Linked DNA regions of Arabidopsis thaliana. The protein of the gene in region 2 interacts with the protein of the main gene of each other region in a pairwise test. Each region holds a gene or a part of one and is shown on either strand. Other genes may lie near its edges.

What was found. Proteins that work in one complex are often made in the same cells at the same time.
Region 1: the proteins of AT2G21237 (region 2) and AT1G11050 interact in a protein complementation assay, tested with the Arabidopsis thaliana proteins (one large-scale study listed by BioGRID).

The regions. Positions count from the first base shown.
Region 1 is NC_003070.9:3,679,867-3,686,669, reverse strand, and holds AT1G11050 (Protein kinase superfamily protein), read right to left. Parts: upstream 4,783-6,803; 5' UTR 4,779-4,782; coding exon 2,901-4,778; 3' UTR 2,501-2,900; downstream 1-2,500. Other genes in the region: AT1G11060 (WAPL (Wings apart-like protein regulation of heterochromatin) protein), read right to left, coding at 101-213, 410-749, 883-982, 1,477-2,102; AT1G11040 (HSP40/DnaJ peptide-binding protein), read left to right, coding at 5,746-5,883, 6,193-6,803.
Region 2 is NC_003071.7:9,097,917-9,104,523, forward strand, and holds AT2G21237 (uncharacterized protein), read right to left. Parts: upstream 3,300-6,607; 5' UTR 3,269-3,299; coding exon 2,768-3,268; 3' UTR 2,620-2,767; downstream 1-2,619. Other genes in the region: AT2G21235 (Basic-leucine zipper (bZIP) transcription factor family protein), read right to left, coding at 1-851; BPC4 (basic pentacysteine 4), read right to left, coding at 3,599-4,420, 4,505-4,573; AT2G21250 (NAD(P)-linked oxidoreductase superfamily protein), read right to left, coding at 5,492-5,722, 5,805-6,024, 6,107-6,239, 6,372-6,489, 6,571-6,607.

The DNA.
Region 1 (6,803 bases), on a different chromosome or scaffold from region 2:
TGCTTTATACGAGTTATCAACCTCCTAGGCAATCATAGACTACCTTTCTATATTACGAAAGATATCAGTGCAGATGAAAAAAAAACATACAGCTTCACACCTCCATAACAGCGTGACAATCCATAACAACCTCAAGGACTGCATCAAGTCCTCCTAGTTCTCGCAGTTTCTCCTTGAAATTCCCTCCAGTCTTCTTTACAGAACCAGAAGTATCTGGATGGGGGTAAACAAAAGATCATAATATTATCACCTTAATTCTATGCTAAAATAAACCTAGAGAAGCAAAATAAATACTGGAGAGAACAGGAACTTTTCATCATCTATAACCTAATCTAACTGATTCTAAGATGATCTCCGAAATAGTTAGCTAGTCATTACTTCCGGGAGAAAAGGCAAAAAGTTCTAATACCATCAAAAGAAATTTTGGATACGCATGCTCTCTCCATGGCCAACAAAGCTACCCATTTTGTACTTAGCTCAGGCCTCGTTGTTTCAGTTATATAGCTATCATTCAGTCTCATTTCTTTGCAATTAACAAGAAGTTCCTGAACTCTTGAGAGGATATCACTGGAGCTCGGATCATCCATTTTCACTGGATCCCGTGCTGCATCAACATCCTTAAGTAATGATAAGAGCTTAAATCCTATATTGCGTGGCTTCCCTTCGGTGCTAGTGACAATCACAGGTTTCAACAACTTTATCAGAAACTTGATGCACTTGGGTGACTCCATAAAGTGCTCGTCTTGACCCTGGAGTCATGAAAATGAATTGGTAAAGTTATATACGGAAAATGTGAAATGGTGAATAAGAAACCAAAAAAACGTCAATGAATCAAAGATTAAACATCAAAAACATACATAACAGCATCTGCAAATCACTTACATCAGCAGTTAGCGCAAAGAAAAGGGTGGCTGCGGCAAGATTGCTTGGTATATCATCAAGGCTAAGAACCAAAATCGCATCAATTATGGATTGGGAAATCCTGAAACAATAAGCTCCCACAAAATTAGGTAACTTTTCCTGAGATTTCATGATACTTACGACTCAGCATCCATCTAGGACTTCTTATCGACTCAACCAACGAATCAATTAATGGGACAAACACAAAATCTCCAGTCCTTGGGAGAGAATCAGACATAGTCCTAAAACCTTACCTCGCATGCATCATGATACAAACCCTATTCAGTAATACACCATTCCAATCCACTACAAACCAGATTCTCTAAACTGTCATGCCCTAATCCTCTTCAGAAGTCCAAATCCATCACAAATCTGATTTACAAGAACCAAAAATACAGAGAAGAGAAAACGAAACCATAGAGTTTGTTGGCCCTAATCGTGCCCTAATCTAGAAGACCGGAAAACAATGAAAACCCACATGCCAATTTGGAAAATTTCTCATGAATTGAACAAAATCAAACCCCAAAGAGAAGGGGGAAATCGAAAAATCTAAGAAAAAAGAGTAAAGCTTCTTACCCTTGAGCCCTCAAGGAGCGACGCTGGTGTTGAGATGCACAAATCGACAATAGAGAGGACAAGCTAGCTCTTCTGATCCTGAGCTGGTGTCCTTTCCTCAACCCATCAAGCGCAAAGTTAACCTCATCCTCATGCTCCATCAGCTCACCAAACTCCTGAGCCTCAAGCAAAGTGGAAGTAAAAGCAGCAGCCTCAGCACCGTTCCTGACTCTTTTCGCCCTCCGTACAACACCTCCGTTCTGTGGATAATCCTCTCTGAAATTTGACCTGGAAGAAGAATGCCAGAGAGAGGAAGACTCTTGACTGGAGAAAGGAAGGAGAGAGTAATCAATGGGCTCGATGTCCGGCGACGAAGAGGAAGAGAGATACTCAGTCTGAGAAACAGAGTCGTTTAGAGAGTCCGATAGGGTCCTCGGAATCCCCGGCTTACGGCGGCCGTAGGTTCGTTCCATCATCGCCGAGACGAGTCGTTGAATTTGCAAATTTTTGGGGAAGAGTTTTAGGTGAGAAAATCGAAACAAGGGTATTTCGGGAAGAAAGACAAATATATAAAAGTGCTCGTAAGATCTGCGTAGCTGAAGAAGAGAGCAGCAAATGCGATTGGCCGTTAGTTTTACAATTATCATTAAATTTTGTTGTTACCACAGTAATAACTAATACTAAGTGAGTAACCAGAATGTTTTAAATTACTAACTAACTTTAGCAATTAAAAGTTAAAAAGAGCACACAAATTTTCACAGTCTGATTTTTGGGGTTTCAAGTTGTGTCTGAATTACAACTAAACATTTATTTGTTATTGATTTTTTTTTTTGAGTATTACCAATGCTGGAAAGTTTTAAATTTATGCTAGTTTGAGCATTTTATATTCAACTGATTCAGGAAATTGTGTAATGTACTGTATACTGTAAAATATAGAATTTACCAGATATAAAATTAATAGTAAAATATGTATCTGATTTTTTTCTGTTGAAAATGCTTTGACAAATCATTATGTATCAAACTATGTAATTTCTTGTTGACAAAAAAAAAAAATATGTAATTTCTTCTTATTTATATACATATAAATTTTGCAACGGACAAAAATAAACACAAATTTGAATGGTTGCAGAATTTTACATGGTGGCTGAGGCGAGAGGACCATTAGTGTCAAGATGGTGCAGGACTGTGAACCACTGCACCAAATGTGAGTGCCTTAATAACTTTTGCACTTGTACCGGAAGGCTTCCACCAGCTACCGCCCTCACCCCCGCATCTCAGCCTTCGCCTCTACTTTGATTTAGAATATAATCCTACAATGAACTATATGTTTTCCCTACTTATGATATACTACAACATTCTGAAATTGTTTTACATGATGTAATCAAAAGACGTGATCGTTGCTTTCAAATATTTACAAAATAAAATCTCACATGAGCCTAGTTTTTTCATCTGAGCATATCTCCGGAATGTATTTGTAGTCCGCTAAGCGCAGGCGATATTGTGAATCCGTTTCCGTCCATACGGTACGAAGGATGCGCGAGCGGGACTGGTCGGTCCGGAATAGGAGGAACCTCGATGTCTCCTTCAAGCATTTTCAATGCATCTAATATTGTTGGCCTTAAAGCAACCAATACATGGGCACACAATATCCCAACTTGCAAGAATCTCTCCATTATCCCTTTCGGATTCGAGAGCCCTGAGCCTTCCTCTCTCAACAAAGACTGCTCAAGAGCTTCCTCTGTTTTCCCTGCTTTTACCAATGACCAAGCCCAATCTGTGATCAGAAAAGTGTTTGGTGATCCAGAAGTAGACAGATCAAGAGCTTTCCTTCCACACATGATCTCCAATATAACAACCCCGAAGCTATACACATCGCTTTTCTCGGTTAATTGACCATAGAGGGCATACTCTGGAGCCAAGTAACCGTGTGTTCCCGCAACTCTGGTAGTGAGATGAGACTCTCCTTCTCTACTCTGTTTAGCTAAACCGAAATCCGCAACTCTCGCTCTCATATCGACATCTAACAATATGTTCGTACCTTTAATATCCCGGTGATAAATAGCGGGTTTCACACCGTAATGCAAATAAGCCAACCCTTTAGCCACATCCAAAATGATGCTCTTTCTCTGAGGCCAGCTCAATGGCATCTTCGTAGTCTCACCTCGAGGAAACAAGTGATCATCGAGATTTCCATTAGACATGTAATCATAAACAAGATATCTCTGACTCTCACTATCATCATCCACCATACTACAACCTCTAAGCGGAACAAGATTCCTATGTTTCAAATTGCTAATGATCTCAACCTCATTACGAAACTCTGCATCCCCTTGAAACTCAGACTCTATCACCTTCTTAACCGCGATAACCGATCCATCTGGTAAAACCCCTTTGTAAACAAAACCAAACCCGCCTCGACCGATGAAATTCTTCTGCGAGAAGTTATTCGTAGCTTTCTCTAGTTCCTCGATTTTGAACCAGATAGAGCCAGTGTTTGGTCTCCATTTCGGTCTAGACCCTTGATCCTCCCAACCAACCTCTCCTCCTTTAACAGCTTTACCAAACCGGAAATACAAACAAATCAAACCGGCAATAACCAGAGCCCCGAAAATAGCTCCGGTTATCCCTAAAGCAAGAGCCACCGTGTGTCTTTTCTTCTTTGAGTTCAATGGAGATCTCAAACTCAAAGAGAAGAGACAAGACAAAGCATCATCACTCTCAGGTCCTTTCTTGTTAACAATACCAGCAGCGTAAGTAACCACAAAATGGTAACAATAAACACCGTGAGAGCTATTACCGTCCAAAGTGATGAGCTGTTTTTGAACCCTAAACCCAGCCGCCACGCAAGCGTCGCATCGCGTTAGATCAGTGAGACCACTGCTACAGGCGGAGTCAAGCGCCGTAGATGGACCGAGACGAGATACCCAATCTTGAGTCGTTTGGATTCCAGCACAGGTTTCGTTATTGATGACGAACTGATTCGGATCGAAACAGAGAGAGGTGAGATTCGAAGATAGAGAGAGTGAACTAAGCTTCGTTTGGAGATTGTTGAGACAAGAGATTGAAGTAGCGAGATTTGGGAGACGGAAATTGGAAGTTTGTTTGAGACGATGAGCTAGAGGGATTCCGATTAGAGTTAAAAGAGATTGGCAACAACTGTTCTTGCTATCGGCTGATTTGTCGGACTTTTGACAATCTGTTGTGTTCCATGGGATTGTTAGGACATGAGAGAAATCTAAAGGACAAGTTTGTGATGGAGATTGAGCAACGCAGTTTGTGAGATACAGGAATGAAAGAAGAAGAAAGAGAATCGAGTTAGGCATGTTTATGTTGGATTATGGTGAAATCGAAGATATGGGTTTGGAGAATCTGAGGTTTTTTGGTGGTGGAAAGTGAGTGATTGATTTTGGCGGCCATGAAAGTTGAGGAAAAAAGTTGGATTCTTTTGGTCAAAGAGGCTGCTTTGATCTGTTTGACTTTGGAAGCAACATGGAAATGCAGCTTGTCCCCACCTGCAACTGCCAACACTAACGATGAATGAAACATATTCCATAGTGGCTACGTTTCACTTTCGTTTTTAATGTTAAATGTGGGAAAATTGAAAAAGCAAAATTAATAGATAGTACTAGGATTATAAAATTTTGACAAAATTAATGGGACAAAAATTCAGACGGTAAGACAAAAGAGAAAACTGAATAAAGGTCAACTAGAGATATCATTTTAAACAGTCGACTAAATTATCAAATTAGACTCTTTACGTGTAGAGTTGTTATTATTGCTTGCTGATGGGAATGGGGATCCACTATTGCGGATAAAAATAACTTATGCAACATACAAAACTACCAAAGATTGTGCTACAACCGAAACGGATCATTCGTTATTCTCATGTCAGTATGCTCATGCACTTTCGATAAACTATACAAGTCTACAAATGTACCGCTGGTAAATGTATCTTTTGAGTGTATCCATAATCTCATGATAAGTACAATACTTTGGTTCTGATTATTCTCTCTCAAACCGGGTCGATGCATGCTCATCCAATTCCTAGTAAAAAGTTATCAAAGGGGAATTAAATAAGAAAAGCCTATAAATTTTCTTAAGAAAATATTTTTATTTCGGAAAACAAAAAAACAGAAATTTCCTAATAAAAGCTCTCCCAAACAACTCGGCTCTTCGTCTGTCTGATAATCTAATTCATCCCTACACACGACAACGACAAGTTTCCTCATCTTTCTCTCTGTTTTCTCTTTCCGCTAATTTCTTGATCATCTTCTTCTTGTTCTGTATGCAATGGGGACTCCTCGTTCGCCGGCTACAGATTTCTTTGGAATTTCCAAGACAGCATGCAAAGCCTACAAGTCCCTCGTCACCAAATTGCACCCTCTTTCTTCTCATCGCAAATCCGAATCCCATTCCGATGCCGATTCCGTACGTTTAATTAACATCTTCTCTTATTGTGACGAACGCTATTTTCTGATCATCATTTCATTTACGTTTTCACATTTGAGCAATGATTTTTGCTATGGAATAACGTAGAAATAGATAAATTGTTCCCAACAATGATCAAACGGCGAAATATTCGATTTATATCATTATGGATTTCCGTTTCTTTCTTCTTTTTATCTCTTCGAGGATTGTTTGTGAAAACCTCTGTTTCGTAAAATAAAAAAATCATTTTTCAATCCAGAGATCGTGAGAACAGAGTAAAATAATATTTTTGTTTGTAAAAATTGATAGGCAATCCACCGGAGATATTTGGAGGAGAAATTTGCGGAGGAGGATGATCTCATTGCTGCTCGGAGAGGTCTCCGGCTACAGAGCATGGACGATAGTAGCGTCTTCAAACGTCGTTCTTCTCTGTTATCAAACTCAAGTAGCCGCCGTAGCCACACGCCGCAAGCTAGACCAACGTACCTCTCTTCCTCCGCTTCTTCCAACCGCCGTTCTGCTTTCTCAAGAAGCACAAGCCGTAGAGACGAAGGCAGCAGCCACAGCGGAGTGAGAAGCCACGGTTTGAAATCACGTCCCATCTCAAACAACACCAGTCCGATGACGTCACCTTTCACGAGTCCTAGAGGAAAAGATCAAACCTTAGGTGATTTATTCGGATCTGTAAAGAAACTTTCGTCTCCTACAAGCAATAGTCCGATAAACGGCGTCAAACAATCTTCTCCTTCGTCGATTTCGAAGAGTGCTAGCAAGAGAGATAAGGATGAAAGAGGCTCTACGAGCTCGGCGACATCGACCTCTCTGCCATATTCAAAGAGTAAGAGCACGAGGGATACGGCTGGATCAATTGCAAAGAGTATAAGCCGGAGAAGCACAACGCCGATAGTGTTTTCGCAGTC
Region 2 (6,607 bases):
TTTCTAGGCCTGCTACCGGAGACTTTCGCAGAGTTGGACCTCGTGACTGGAACCCGAGGCTGAGGATGCAACGGGGGACGGTTAGACATTTCCTCCAAATGTGCTGATGGAGATGGGTGACCCGGCGGAGATGATCTCACCATCGGATTAGAGGAGTAGACAGGCGCCGGCGGTAAGACCGAAAGCACAGGCGACCTATGAATCAACGACCCTTTTCCGCGGTTGGAGCGGGGAAATGAATCACGACCGAACAACGGCGGAGCAGAGCTGGCCGGTGCTATGGATGAGAACACAGGGGAAGGCTGAGGGATCGACCATGTTCCGGTGTTGGAGTGAGAAAATGAGTCTGGACCGAACGACGACAGAGCAGAACTGGCCGGTGCTATGGATGAGAACACAGGGGAAGGCTGAGGGATCGACCATGGTCCGGTGTTGGAGTGAGAAAACGAGTCTGGACTGAACGACGACGGAGTAGAGCATGATGAAGGACTCGTCTGGGGAAAGTAGAAGCTAGACGACGAAGCAGAGCTCACCGACGCCTTTGAGTTATGGGACGACGACGGCGTAGGAATCATTTGGTGAATGTTGGAGAAGCTAAACGAAGGTGTAAAGCTTGCCGGATTATTGAATGACGTCAGTGAAGGACTCGCTTGAGTGAAGTCGGAGAAGGTAGGGGACGGTTGAGTCGTACACCGTGGTCCGGGGCTGAAGTCCGGCGACCCGGCTGGATAACGGATCAGTGGTGGTGACAGAGAAGTCCGGGAAGAGAGTGACACGCCGGTGCTCTGGCCACCATCATCAGTACTGAAAGGATTCTGCTGGTATTGAGTCATATTTCCACGACCGTTCATCGTTGTTATCGGAGTTTCTGCAATCATATGGAAGTTTTGTTATTTTTCTTAAAGAAGAAATCAAAAATCGAATGCATAAATGGGAAAGAGTTAACAATAGTCCAAAGCTAAAATTGAAATGATCAAATCGTGATATTCAGATTAATTCTATGAAAACTTTGATCAGGTTGCAGACAAGGAGACCAAAAAAAAAGAAGAAGATTGAAACGTTGAGACTTGAGAGAGACATAAAGAGTTAAAAGAGAGGAGACCTCAAGCTTCAACAATGGATAAGGACAGTTGACAAAAGAAATCTCTCTGAGAAAATGATTGGTGTTTTTTTTTGTCTGGTTCAATAGATTGCACGACCCTCCTATTTATATTTGGTTAAGGAAAGGACACAAGTCTCATGTTTTTCACCCTCCTCATATTTAATTAAGGATTTTTCCCTTTTTATGGTCTCAAATATTTTATATCTATACATTTGAATTATTTTTTCTATAAAACAGCTTTTACATTTTTAAGATAAAAAGCTATACTGTACTGTGTTGTAAGGTTATACAATGAAAATTTATAAATCTAAATTGTTTGTGTTTTGCTATCGAGTCATTAGTTAGTTATTTTGCCGCGTTATTTATTCTAGTGAGTTATTTTATCACGTTTTTTTCAGTTTTATTAATGAGTTATTGACACGTTTATTTCGTTGTAATCGAACTATTTTACCACGTTTATTTAAGACTGATCAAGGAACATAAATATTGTTTGTTTTCTTTTTCTGATTTAGATATACATTTGGTTCATCTCTAGAAGAATTACCAATGTTGGATTTTACAAATGATTGTTGTTTGATTTTTTACAGAAAGTTTTGTATATTTTTGTAGTCCTTTGATTAATTGTAATTGTGAGATTTATTTTTTGGCTATATTAATAAATATCATATATCTCCTTTTTTTGATCAACTAATATTTTTATTTTTGTTTATTAATTTATTGATTTTAGCAATCACTTAATTAGTAAATCTTTTCTATGCACTACATGGACCCACATTAAATTACATTACTTAATTGTAGATATTTCAGTGAATCTAAATTAAATTTTGTAAAAAAAAATGTATTTTTATTTGGAAAAAATAATTGTTGTTAGCAATAAATTAATAGATACTATAAATGATTGTAAGTTTGTTTAGAAATTAAATTTACCACATTTGGCTAAAAATTGGGTAAATCACCATAACAGTATTCTATATAAGTAATTTATCTTAGACCAATTATGTAGCGACAAATGTACATTAGTAGATTTACTTCCTTGTTTTTTTGGGGCCACCTTTCGGCCACTTGATAAGTAAAATTTCTTTCTATTTGGGCCAAAGTAACTTCTTATTGTAGAACCGGTAACGAAATTGACTCAAACAACCCATGAGACTCACACATATTATTCCTCGCTGAACTGACACGTGGCATTATTTCAAAGAAGTAGAGATTTTTACCTTGAATGTAAAGATTTTTTATTTTAGTTTTTCCAAAACTCTACTTTATAGCAATTCAAAATTTTGCAAAAAATACTTTCCCTAAAAAACAGAGGATCTAGTATTTTACTTGGGTTGTTACAAAATTTCAAAGAAAAACCAAAACCCATTGTAAGACTTTTTCATCTTTTGCTTTTAACTAACAATATATAGTACATCAATATATATATATATATATATATATATATATATATATATATATATATATATTGAACTCAGCTCATAAGAGGGGAAAAAAGAAAGAAAGATGTAATTCGAATTTTTGAAGATCATTGGTCGTTGGATTATTGGAAAAGATAAAATGCTGAATAACAAACATATCACAAAAGAGATTATTAGATTCTTGAATCGATCTGATAGCTAACCACATCAAAGTTATTTTTTTGAATGAACCACACTAAGTTTTAATTTGCTAACGAGTTCGACATGATCTTACTTCGCCGTGAGACGGGAATGACACTGCGCGTTTTATCCTCGGCATCTTCTTGTCATCCGGAGCAACCACAACGGCTAAACTTTGGCAGCTGTTTTTCACCGTTTCTTCAGTTCGTTTAGTCGTCTCGGTACTCTGATTCTGCACCACACACGGTTCTTTGCTTGGAGTTGAATCCACAATCTGATCTGAGCCGCGCCTGACGAGAATATGAAGACCGATCAAGATGACAAGAGGAAGACACATCAAGAACAATGCATAGTAGATGATCCACCCGAATCCCGTGTGACTCTTTCCGTGACAGATCCACTCAATGACTAAAGCCATTCCTGAGGTGAATGTAGTCAAGCTGCTTAGGACAAAAACTTTGACAATCCCCGGATTCGGAATTTGCAAGAAGGCTCTTGCGGCGCCAAGAAACCATATCTCTTGTGACCGTTGATGCGTCTCCACATGCGCCACTGTGGCTTTCTCCATCATTTTGTTGTTGTTTATGCTTACTTTGTGTTTTATTTTTTGTTCTCTCCTCTCGGTATAAAAAGAAACTAACAAGTGAAAGAAAAAAGGGGTAACAGATTTTGCTATCAAAGGGGTAACAGATTTTGATTTTTAACTGTTACGATTTTATTTTATTTTTTGAGGTCAAAACACAGATTTTTTATGCAAACCATTTTTGCCCATCCAAAAGATACACATAACAATGGTTTTACCATACACAACAAAGAACAAACTATGGACAATAAAGACAAAGACAACACCTAATCTTAAGAAGACGAGAGAAACATACTTGGACTGTGTAAACAACAGAGGCTACTTGATAGTGATGTAGCGGTTTGTCCCGTGCCTAGCCCAATAGTCTTTAAGATCAACAGGACACGAGAGATCATATCCTTCTGCTGATAAACGGCTGAGTAATCTCGAGAAAACGTTTCCGCTCATTTTCCTACCGCCCATCCGAGAATGCCTCTTGTTTGGCATCTGCGGTAATGGATACTGGGATAAGGTGGTTGTGCAGCAAGACGATTGCCAGCCGCCATTTCCCCATTTGTAACACTGACGCGTAGAGCCTGTGCACGAACACATGGGTACAGGCATTGTCGTCTCATCGAAGGTGACTAAGTTCAAACCGACATCTTGACTGTCCCAATCTGTTCTAGATTTCTTTCCAGGAGCAGGAACTCGACGGTTCAGATCTTCACCCACTTTTTTCACCTTTGATAGTCCCTGCTTGTTCTCTTTCTTCCTTTTGTTCACCACCTTCGTGTTTGTAACCTCAGGCGGAATAGTTGACAAAGGGAAGACTTCAAGTTTGTGGGGTTCCCCAATACCAAAACAATCATCTCCATCAACACACTTCCCACCAGACAAAGCAAAGTTGAGACTATTTTCATGGTGTTGAAGAGCAGCATAAGCATTATCTCTCTCTATCAAAGCTTTATCTCTCTCAGAAAGAGCTTTGTCACGTTGCTGAAGCGCTTCGTCCCGAGCAGCGACAGCTTCCTTTTTAGCAGAGACAGCTTGATTTCTTTCATGTACAGCAGCGTCTCTCTCAGCAAGGATGGACATGATCTTCTTATTCATCACCAACGCATTATGTTGTTCCTTAATCTGATGCTGGGGAATCATATTCCACTGTAACAAACATTCTTTGCTTATATAACTTCAATCACACTAACAAAAACATATCTTTAGGAAACCAAAAATCTTAAGTCTTACCATAGATTGTGCACCTTTGAAGTAATCGGGCTTGAACCGCGCATTATCATACTGACCACCATTCTCCATAACTCTTATAATCTTCAAACAGTGAAACACCGAACCAATCAAGCTTCTCCTCCAAACACACTCAGCAACAGTGAAACCAAATTTCAAACATTGTGATTCGATCTATGAAAACAATTGAAGAGTAAGAATTACAAGCAGATATTAGCACACTGAACTCGCAATTCACTATCTTCAAACAAAATCAAAACTTCTCGAATTGATCTGCCAGTTAGGGTTCCGCAATTGATTCAGATACCAAAATCAATCTGAGCTAGTCAGAGAAACAGGTCTTAAGGAACAATTTTACGAAAATTGGAATAAATTAGGTCAAGATCAAAAAGGTCGAATCAATCTAAACCTTCCATGACAAGAGATTATTCCGCGAAACAATAGAAAACAAGGGTGAAACTGAAATTATAAACCCTAGAGATACAACACATTCAAAATTGATTAACAAATAAATTAAAGAGAGGAAAAGGCGCGAAAGCTTACGAATTCGATGAGCTTCTGGAAAAAATCTGGGCAAAATGGATAATTGATCGAGAAGAAAGATCCAAAGGGTAGAGAGAGAGAGAGATAGTGTCTCTGTCCGCGAAGAAGCTCAATGTACTTACTTCGTCATTTACCAAATTACCCTCTTCTCTACTACTAAACAAGAGAAATCAAGGGTATACTCGTCTTTTTAAATATCCTCTTTCAGTTACAATAATGATTCATTGTGGATTTAAGCATATAAATAGAGAAGAGAGAAATCTATATCACTTTCCATCAATGTGTGATATTGTAGTACTTAAGAAATCATAATCTGTTTAACAACATGAGTTTATGTATGAAAGATAGGCTCACAAACATTTGAGAATGTTTCAGGTAAAGCTATGGCTTCTTCTCGTTGTTTATCTTCTTAAGCTTCATTTATTCATGTAGATAGAGAGAGTGTGATCAAGCGTAGAGATCAATGTTCCAAAACTTGGCTGGTTGGTTCGTGCGGTATTTCCTCTCCATGCTTTTGATCACTTCCATGTCCTCTTTCGATAGTTCGAAGTCGAAAACCTGAAAGTTCTCTTCCAATCTCGCAGGCTTTGATGTCTTTGGTATCACCACCGTTTTTCTCTGGATTCCCCACCTCAGGACAACTTGTGCCACTGTCTTTTTGTACTTCTCGGCCACATCCTAAGAATTCAGATAAACGCAGTCCTTTTTTAATTGTCAAAGGTTCAATCCAAACTTTTAAGGTTTAGAGGATGGGGCTTACTTTGAGAACTGGATCATCCAGGCATGACACGGTGCCAAACCACTCGGCATTGGCTGTGGCACCTCCGAGAGGAGTATGAGCAGTGACACAGATACCATGTTTCTGGCAGAATTTGACAAGAGAATCACGTTGGAAGTAAGGATGTGTCTCGATCTGATTCACAGCAGGTTTGATCTTGGAGTAAGCCAAGCAATCTCTCGTTAGAAAGACATCATAGTTACTGCAAAAAACCTAATGGTCAAAAAATTCATATATTGGCGACTAAACAAGAGAACTTGTAATGATAGTGAGAGAAGTTGAACCTGATTCCAATGCTGCGGACTAAACCCATAGAAACAAGCTTTTCCATGTCGTGCCATGTAGTTTCCAGAGAGATGGTCGTGTCTATGTCCAATACCCCGTCATCGCCCAAAGCACTATCGGTTGTCCCTACTCCTGCAAAGCATATATAGAAGACACTTAAGAAAACTTGATCTCAGTCAGTGAAAAAGGAGGACTTGTAATAAAACGAAATGCAATGGTCTCTGACTCTAGACTAATAAAACGCTAATGAGGCAGAGGCCTCACCGGTGTGTTTCGTTGCTACGGGAAAATGAACGAGGAAGAGATCGAGGTAATCAAGTTGAAGTTTCTTGAGACTGTCTTTGCAGGCCTCAATGACATGGCCATGGTCTGAATTCCATAGCTGCAAAAAACCAATTCAGATCACAGATCAGAGCTTGCTCACATTAAATTGAGATCATAGCTGTATAGTTTTCGATTGGACCTTGGTTGTAATGAAGAGATCCTCCCTCTTAACCAGA